2 linked regions of the Arabidopsis thaliana genome follow. The protein of the gene in region 1 interacts with the protein of each later gene in a pairwise test. Each region holds a gene or a part of one and is shown in the gene's direction. Other genes may lie near its edges. The genes, in order: AT1G03520 and AT1G71020.

What was found.
Region 2: the proteins of AT1G03520 (region 1) and AT1G71020 interact in a protein complementation assay, tested with the Arabidopsis thaliana proteins (one large-scale study listed by BioGRID).

Annotation. Positions count from the first base shown.
Region 1 is NC_003070.9:877,235-882,054, reverse strand, and holds AT1G03520 (Core-2/I-branching beta-1,6-N-acetylglucosaminyltransferase family protein), read left to right. Parts: upstream 1-1,795; 5' UTR 1,796-2,501; coding exon 2,502-3,144; intron 3,145-3,244; coding exon 3,245-3,320; intron 3,321-3,399; coding exon 3,400-3,515; intron 3,516-3,598; coding exon 3,599-4,107; 3' UTR 4,108-4,194; downstream 4,195-4,820. Other genes in the region: NAF1 (nuclear assembly factor 1), read left to right, coding at 1-77, 179-1,417; AT1G03510 (Tetratricopeptide repeat (TPR)-like superfamily protein), read left to right, coding at 4,508-4,820.
Region 2 is NC_003070.9:26,789,921-26,795,035, reverse strand, and holds AT1G71020 (ARM repeat superfamily protein), read left to right. Parts: upstream 1-1,716; 5' UTR 1,717-1,930; coding exon 1,931-2,224; exon of another isoform or gene 2,225-2,437; coding exon 2,438-2,554; intron 2,555-2,645; coding exon 2,646-3,032; intron 3,033-3,122; coding exon 3,123-4,211; 3' UTR 4,212-4,487; downstream 4,488-5,115. Other genes in the region: AT1G71015 (plastid movement impaired protein), read left to right, coding at 4,975-5,115. UniProt on the Arabidopsis thaliana protein: Functions as an E3 ubiquitin ligase.

The DNA of each region.
Region 1 (4,820 bases):
AGCTTCCTCCAGTTCCTCCTGTGGATGTCACTCTGGAACCACACCATGCCACACTTCCTGTTGGAGTTGTTCTTTCGGTATATTAAAAATTACCTCTACTTGTATGCTATTGCTTCTCTGTTTGATGTCTTGACAATCCACTGCTAAAAGCATACCCGTCTCATTTGTGATTTTACAGGTAATGAGCGCACAAGTAATAGTTGAGGGAATGGAAAAGCATAGTCCTTTGACTGAAGGTTCTATCCTTTGGATAACTGAAAAAAGAACGCCATTGGGACTGGTGGATGAGATCTTTGGACCCGTGAAGTGCCCTTATTATATTGTGAGGTTCAATTCAGAGAGTGAAGTGCCAGAAGGGGTTTGTCAAGGGACACCTGTCTCATTTGTCGCCGATTTCGCTCAACATATTCTCAATATCAAGGAACTGCAGAAGAAAGGTTACGATGCATCTGGGGATAACGACGAGGAGATACCAGACGAGCTAGAGTTCTCAGATGATGAAAAAGAAGCCGAATACAGAAGAATGCAGAAGTTGGAAAAGAGAGGAATGATGAGTGACCAGAAAACCGGTAACACCAGGAACAAGAAGAAGAAAAACCGAGATCCCGGAAGGCCTACAAGCAGTTACTCAGGGGAATGGACGAAGAACCAGGGATCTAGTTCTCTATCGTCAAACCGTTCTGATCCTCAAATGGGTGGTCCGCGTCCTCAAATGGACGGTTTTCCTCCAAACAATGCAGCATGGAGACCCCAGAGTAATCAGCAGAACCCATATCAGCTTCCTCCTATACCTAATCAGATGGGAATGCAGATACCTTTCATGGCAATGCAAAATCAAAATCAAATGATGTTCCAACCGCAGTTCAATGGTGGCCAGATGCCAATGCCAGGTGGACCGGGAGGCTTAAACTTCTTTCCAGGACAGGCTTCAGCGCCATGGCCTGCAATGGTAGGTCAGAATTGTTTCAACCAACAGTTTGGGATGGGTCGTGGTATTCAGCAGCAGCCATTACCAAATGAGCTGAGTTTTAATATGTTTTCTCAAGGTCTTCAAATGCACCCACCACAGTCCCAAATGCACCGGCCACAGTCTCAAATGAATCCACAGTTCCAAATGCCACCACAGTTCCAGCCCCACCAGCAATCTCCAATGAACCCGCAGTACCAAATGATGCACCGACCACAGTCTCCAGCGAACCCGCAGTTCCAAATGCAAGCACAATCTGATGTGCGACCACTACAGTCACAAATCCCGCAGTCACCAAGTGATTTGCAGTCCCCAATGGAACCACAATCTCAAGGGTTTAGCAGCGGGCAGTCTTCTGAACGGGGAAGGGGCTTCCATGGTCGTGGTAGAGGTAGAGGGCGGGGTCGCTTCGGACGTGGGCGAGGTAGAGGCCGGCAACAGTCTGGATGAAACTTTTTTTGGAAGCATACTAAACTGCTAATGTGTGTCATAGCCAGGCTATATTTAGTTTTGTATGCCAGTTTTTGTATGATTATGATCTTTTTTTTTTTACACATTCTCTATAACAGTAAAACGAACTTTGATTTCTCTGTTGTTCCTTCTCCTTGTACCACCAAAGTCAAACTGGCTATAGAGTAGAATAGACTATACTCACTAGCAGTGAATTAGGCAGCAACATAAGAACAGTGTTTTTTTTTTCTCGCCGTTAATTTCGTTACTTATCTAACGTATTATTATGAGTTGATAATGCCACGTGTACGTCATCGCTTGTAAAGGGTTTGAGAGTCGTACATGATCATTAAATTCTCTACTGATTGATTTTGATTTTGCCAACAATTATTAAAGCTTACACCACGAAATGTTTGATGTTTAAATTAATTGCCATGTCTCTCTGTCTCTCTCTGTATCTCTCTCTCTCTTCTTCCCCGCGTCGATTTCACATTTTCTCTTTTAAGACAGCTTTGAATCTACAGACAACTTCATTTTTACCAAAATTTCTGTTTCTTCAAAGGATTGAACTTTCATATTTCTCTCTTGCCCAGTTCTGAGTTATTGCAATCAGAAGTTGTAAACACTTTTCCTGTCTCTTTCTGCTACCCGAATTTATCTTCTTTAGCGTCTGTCTCTTTCAGCGGACGTGTCTTGTCTCTTTAAGGTAATTTCAAGACTTAAACTTGAAGTATCTCTGGCCTTCTTCTGCTGTCTGTTTCATTTTTGAAATCGATTTGGAGATTAGATCTGACTCAGCTTCGACTAAAAGCCATTGCTTTCGCCTTTGGATTGTTGATTCCCTAGTGGATGTTCTTTATCTCTTTAAAAAGGTCCTCTCTTTTAAATCAATTTTTGCTGAACTTGCCCAATTCGGAAACTTTGTTGCAAGTCTCCTCTTGGTCTCTGGTAATCGTTTTCGCATCAATCCTTATATTGATTTGAATCTGTAATCAGATTCGATCTTTGATGCTAATTTGGTATTCTATAGAAGACAACATATCTGAATTGGGTTTCTTCGTTGGATAGGATAAGTGGTTAGGGAATGAGAAAATTGTATAGGAAGCTGGTTTCATTCAGAGACCCATTTGCTAGGGTCAAGAGACATGTTAGTTCACATTCAGGGTTTAGAGCTTTCAGCGACAGAAAATGGTTGTTCCCTTTTCTAGCTAGCTTGATCATGTCCATTACTCTTCTGATTTTGTTAATTTCTGGCCAATTCGACAACTTCTTTGGGGAAGAAGATCAATTACCAGTTGATGTTGTTTCAGAGTCTAATGACTACTTTGTAGAATCAGATTTCAAGCAATCTATGAATTCGACGGCTGATGTTAATCCAGAGCCTCCTAGATTAGCTTATTTAATATCGGGAACAAAAGGCGATAGTCATAGGATGATGAGGACTTTACAAGCTGTGTACCATCCTAGAAACCAGTATGTTCTGCATTTGGATCTTGAGGCTCCACCTCGAGAACGGATGGAGCTGGCCATGTCCGTGAAGACTGATCCGACTTTCCGTGAAATGGAGAATGTTCGTGTGATGGCTCAGTCTAATCTTGTTACTTATAAAGGCCCTACAATGATTGCTTGTACTCTTCAAGCCGTTTCAATCTTGCTAAGAGAAAGCTTACATTGGGATTGGTTTCTTAACCTTAGTGCCTCGGATTATCCTCTAGTAACACAAGATGGTTAGTAACTCTCTCTATAATGCTTTAGTAGTCTATGATCCTTTTGAGCTTTATATTTAGTTGTGACTTATAATTTTGGCTTTTCTTTTTGTTTCTGTAGATTTGTTGTATGTCTTCTCAAATCTGTCTCGGAATGTCAATTTCATCGAGAATATGCAGCTCACCGGATGGAAACTGTAAGTATAACCATGCTTCATTATTCAGAGTCACACCAGAATCTCAAAGCATCTGTACTTACTTGGAATTTCTTAGCAGGAATCAGAGGGCTAAATCAATCATTGTTGATCCTGCCCTATACCTATCGAAGAAATCCGATATCGCTTGGACTACTCAACGGCGATCACTTCCAAATTCTTTCAGGCTATTCACTGGTTATCTTCTTTAATCTCACAGTTTCATATCTGTGAGAAAGATTATGAAATGTTTGAAGATGATTTATGTCTTAATTCTGCAGGCTCAGCTTGGATAATGTTGACTCGGTCTTTCCTCGAGTACTGCATTTGGGGATGGGATAATTTCCCAAGAACAATACTAATGTACTACACAAATTTCGTATCTTCTCCTGAAGGATACTTCCACACAGTAATCTGCAACAGCAAAGAGTTTATCAACACTGCAATCGGTCACGACCTTCACTACATTGCTTGGGACAGTCCTCCAAAGCAACACCCTAGATCTCTCTCGTTGAAGGATTTTGACAATATGGTCAAGAGCAAAGCTCCATTTGCACGCAAGTTCCACAAAAACGATCCTGCGTTAGACAAGATCGATAAAGAGCTATTGGGACGGACACACCGGTTTGCACCAGGAGGATGGTGTGTCGGGAGTTCAGCTAATGGCAATGATCAGTGCTCTGTGCAAGGTGACGACTCGGTGTTGAAACCAGGACCTGGTTCTGAGAGGTTGCAGGAGCTTGTTCAAACACTTTCCTCTGAAGAATTTAGGCGAAAACAGTGTTCTTGAAGTTATCTACTGATGACGCAAAATATAACGTTGTACAGTATATTGTTTTGTTTGATTATAAATTTTTGGTTATAGAAATTTCTTCGAAACACATGAATTAAGAACAAGTGACGTGCAGTGGGCTTTTATGGGCCGTATAGCGTCAGTGAAGTGGCATTGATAGGGCCATATTTATAGGGGACCAAGAATAAGGCCCAATTAGCTTGTACAGCCGAAAATAAAAAAGATCGCCGTTGCCGGGGATCGAACCCGGGTCACCCGCGTGACAGGCGGGAATACTTACCACTATACTACAACGACTTTGTTGTTTGGTTGTTTAGAACATAACTATTTAACAACAAACTAATTTGTATTTCTTGAAGGCTGACGCCAACACCGAAAGCTCTATCTCCACCACTCCATGTCTTCTTCGTACGCGTCGAGCTGCACTAAATTGATCTCTCTCACCAAACAATTAAGCTCTTACGCGAACCAAGGAAACCATGAACAAGCTCTTAATCTCTTTCTTCAAATGCATTCTTCTTTCGCCTTACCTCTCGATGCACACGTCTTCTCACTCGCTCTCAAATCGTGCGCTGCAGCTTTCCGTCCTGTTCTCGGTGGATCAGTCCATGCACACTCCGTCAAATCCAATTTTCTGTCGAACCCATTTGTTGGATGCGCGTTACTCGATATGTATGGTAAATGCTTGTCTGTTTCTCATGCTCGTAAAC
Region 2 (5,115 bases), about 26 Mb from region 1:
ATTCAAAAGCAATTTCAAACTCTCGTTTCGCACAAAGGAATCTATAAATACGAAAATTACTTACTAAAGATATAAAGGAAGCAAATTAGTTAACTTATAAAATAATGAAATGTATCGATTTAAGGATGTCTTAAGCATGGAGACTATACGGTCAAATATGCACCAACTAGTACAAACACGTTCACATATATTTTGAACAAAACTCACAATGAATTTGTTTAAAGTATCTTCATACATGCTTAAAATAAAAATTAGAAAGTAAATACATTTGTACAACCGCTATTCAAACATCATCAAATATTAAACAAAATTGCATGACCAAAGAATATGAATGTTTGACAAGTATAGAAGAGGAGATTGTTTGCTAAGAAAATGGACCAATATTTATCATCGAAACTACAATCATCATTAAGGTTGTTTCTACGATTGCGGGATCTACAACCATCAAAGAAGTTGTTTCCACAACTGTATAAACTCTGATCTCACCTTCACTTTCATATTGTTCCGCAAGTACAACTACACCATAAATTTCAGAAATAACGGTGAGTATTGTGGTTAATGGAGAGTTGTGTGTGGATGTGCAAGCAAAAATCACATGCCTCATCAAACACTTCAAGGTTATTAATCTTCATCTGATTCAGACGAATACCCTCTTCTTTATGTAGATCTTTTTATTTTTGCATATGTCCAAAAATAATTATGAAACCAGCCAGTCAAACTTGCCAAAAATGTCTAAAAGATAATGTTGTCTATTTTTCAAGTTGCTATCGGTTGTTATGTAGGACGCAGAAGTCACGGGCATGGACGTCGGCCGATATGATGTGGATGTCGTGGTTGAACCTTTCTTTTGTTAAACCGAGATAACTTTTCAATACAAGACTGTCACAAACTATATGTAAGTCATGTTTATAAATTTTAATCAAAAGTATACTAAACTGTGGTAAAACAGTTTTAAGAAAATTATAGGTCCCAATTTGTATACATGCTTCAAATTATCTAAAATGTTGTTAAAATTCGATCTACCGGGTCATGTTCGACCGTTCCATTTGCAGGCTATATAATACTCACCAAAATTATGTTAATTGACATAATTTTTCTAGAACATTTTTGCTGTAAGAGATATTAAATTTTCTTACACATACAAAGTTATTTTTAAGGGAAAATAAAACATGTAAAGCTATATTTAGTTAATTACAAAGAAGATTTTTTCCATCTTTTAATAAACACTAGGGTAAGACAGATCATATACTAGAAACACATGTCAATACAATGCATCTAAAGGCCTGGAAATTTTATCTTAGTTTCTTTTCAAATAGAAAAAATAACTAATTTGACTATTTATTACCATTTAAGATTACATAAATAATACATACAGATAAATTTCATAACTCCAACATAAATTTCAACACAACTATAAAATACAATCATATAAGATCTACTTTACAACTAAGCACACAACAAACCATTTTCTTCAATAAATAGAAAAGTGGATTTTTTTATTGAATTTAAAAGTATAGTTCATTTCTATTATACAGTTTTGATCTAATATAAATGATAATAATTGATTATTTTTTTGACAACTGTATCATTTTCTCTTCAACCTCTACTTGCACCGTGAATCTCGCTCTCAATTATCTAGTTTGTTCTATTGTATTATTTAAATGTATCACATAAACTTTTATCTAAAAATATAAAGCCAGTAAACTAAAAAGAAAAGAAAAAACCATTTTTAGAGTTAGATAAAAAGTTTAAAACAAAAAACACTAAAACCAAAACGGTGTCGTAACAGCGACTTATCCTTTTTCGCCACATGGCTTCGTTGGATACATAAAAGCGATAGAGACGCATCTCTGAGTCAGAAGCGAGCCAGCGAGAGAGAGAGAGCGAGTCACAAAAATTCGAATTTTAAGCCGCCGTGTGAGACGGCGTAATGGCTGGTGGAGCTATCACTCCCGATTCTCTCATCGGTCTTATTGCTGAAATCAATGAGATTCCGGGGAATTTTGGTTTGTTTAAGAAGGATTGTTCCGATCTCGCGCGACGAGTCGGTCTCCTGACGCATTTGATTGAGGAAATCAGGGATTCTTCTCCGCCGTCGGAATCTGATGCTTCTTCTTCGTTGAATTCTCATGAATGTGATTGGTGGTCTGATCTTGTGGTGGGACTTCAAGCCGCGAAGCGTCTTTTGTCTTCAGCTACTAGTTTCCAAGCTCGCGAGTCCTCTGTAAGCATTCTAAACCATTCTCAACGATTGAAAATGGATTTGTGATTTCACGAAGATTTGGTCTCGCCATGGCAGGAACGTAATTTATAGGAAGAATTTGTTTTTAGTTTTTTTAGATTGGAAGATACTATTGTTGACATTTGTGTAGTGAAGAGCATTATTAATATATACATGAGGAGCTCTCTAAACTTTGATGTGTGATTTTGATTGAAGGATGGGGCAGCCAAGAGGATCTCATTCCAGTTCCAATGTGTTACATGGAAGCTGGAGAAAGCATTAGGTGATTTGACATATGATAGATATGATATCTCTGACGAAGTCCGTGAACAGGTAAAAGTTTGTTCATTATGTAGAATGTATGAAGATTTGGTTTTCCTATCCATGGAGGTGTTTCTAAGGGTTTTTTTTTGCTTGTGATTAGGTGGAACTAGCAAGATTACAGTTAAGAAGAGCAATGCAGAGATATGGATCGTTAAATTCGAAGAAGTTCTCGAGTGGTTTATCTGAGCCAATGGAGAAAGATGCCTCAAGTAATAGAAAAGTTATTGAAAAGTTGGAGAGTATTCCAGAGACAGTGCATTCTTTATCAGATGAGAAGAAATTTGAATCACCCCCTCCTTGGAAGAGCTCTTCAGTATCATTGGCCTTCTTTTTATCAAAGGATGGTGATGATGAGAGATTAGAGAAAGCAGTTACCGAGAACAGCGATGACTCACAGAAATCGGATAATCTCACGATTCCAGAGGACTTTCTTTGTCCAATCTCTCTGGAACTGATGAAGGATCCTGCTATTGTTTCCACAGGACAGGTCTGGTTTAAAAAATCAAATCTTTATATAGTGCTAACGTATGGTTGTTGATTTGAAACCTTAACAATGATCTTCTCTCTTCGTTGGCAGACATACGAGAGGTCGTTCATTCAGAGATGGATAGACTGTGGAAATCTGAGCTGCCCAAAGACACAGCAGAAACTTGAAAACTTTACTCTTACTCCAAACTATGTCCTCAGAAGCCTGATATCTCAGTGGTGCACTAAGCACAACATTGAGCAACCAGGTGGTTACATGAACGGTAGGACCAAAAACAGTGATGGGTCTTTCCGTGATCTAAGTGGAGATATGTCAGCGATCCGAGCATTGGTTTGTAAACTCTCTAGCCAATCAATCGAAGACCGCAGGACTGCGGTTTCTGAAATCCGCTCTCTGTCAAAAAGAAGCACAGACAACCGAATTCTGATTGCAGAGGCAGGAGCCATCCCTGTTTTGGTCAAGCTTTTGACCTCAGATGGTGACACTGAAACGCAGGAAAATGCTGTCACTTGCATTCTTAACCTCTCCATATACGAACACAACAAAGAACTGATCATGCTTGCAGGAGCAGTCACATCTATAGTGCTAGTCCTCCGAGCTGGAAGCATGGAAGCTAGAGAAAACGCTGCAGCTACTCTCTTTAGTCTTTCGTTAGCTGATGAGAACAAGATCATTATAGGCGCATCAGGTGCGATAATGGCCTTAGTGGATCTGCTTCAATATGGAAGCGTCAGAGGGAAGAAAGACGCAGCTACGGCTCTGTTCAACTTGTGTATTTACCAGGGAAACAAAGGCAGAGCAGTTAGAGCCGGTATAGTAAAGCCATTGGTGAAAATGCTGACAGACTCCTCGAGCGAGAGGATGGCTGATGAAGCCTTGACCATACTCTCGGTTCTAGCTAGTAACCAAGTCGCGAAAACTGCGATTTTGAGAGCCAACGCAATACCACCTTTGATAGATTGTCTCCAGAAGGATCAACCGCGAAACCGAGAGAACGCAGCTGCGATACTACTGTGTCTTTGCAAGAGAGATACTGAAAAACTGATCTCCATTGGTAGACTTGGAGCTGTTGTTCCATTGATGGAACTATCAAGAGACGGTACAGAGAGAGCTAAACGAAAAGCTAATTCTTTACTAGAGCTTCTCCGTAAATCATCCCGAAAATTAGGTTCACTCTAAATAGCCCTTAACATGAATTAATTTAGTTTTGCTGGCTATTGATCTGTTTATTATGTCCTGTATCTTATTGAGTTTTTGGAAGACTAATTTAATTTCCATTTGAGGAGAAGGTGGAGTCAAAAGAGTTAACGAGAATCGAACTCTTTGACTCATCTTTGTATTGATTTGTTAATTTTGTTAAAAAAAATGTTTCATATGATTTGATAAAGGTCGTGTGTTGTTACTGTTCCTAGAAAGAGAAATCAAATCAGCTTTTTGTTTTCAAATTCGTTAAAAGTCAATCTCTTCACGTGTCTTTGAGAAAAAATGTTTCGACAACGTAGTTTTCCAGATTAATCGGAGCGATTAACGCAAGTGTCATTTTCTCAGAAAACATTGGTCTCAAAACTTCCAAAATCACATAGTACAAAATATACTATGGTCGAAGTGAAGAACAGTACACATTTTCCATTTCTATTTATAAAATTAAGCATAAATTTTGGGTTGTTATTGGTCTTTTCAAGATTGATAGTGAAATGCGACGTAACTTTTGTCTTCTCATTGTTTTAATAATTTTCAAGATTTTGGCATTTTGTTGACCAAGAAATGGTTCACTATCATCAGCAACCAACCATAAATCAAATCCAAAATCTATAATGATCTGATCTAACACAACACCCACCTTGAACTACTGAGCTCTTAATAGACACCAACCTACAAAGTTTTTTCATCTCATTTGTGAACCTAAAAGATACTAACATTTTACACAACATCATTCACCAAAATGGGAAATAGCTTGGGAACCAAGAAAACAGCGACAATCATGAACATCAATGGCGAGAGTTTCAAACTGAAAACGCCTGTGGAAGCTGGTACAGTGGTTAAAGATTTTCCAGGCCACGTTCTCTTGGAATCCGAAGCAGTG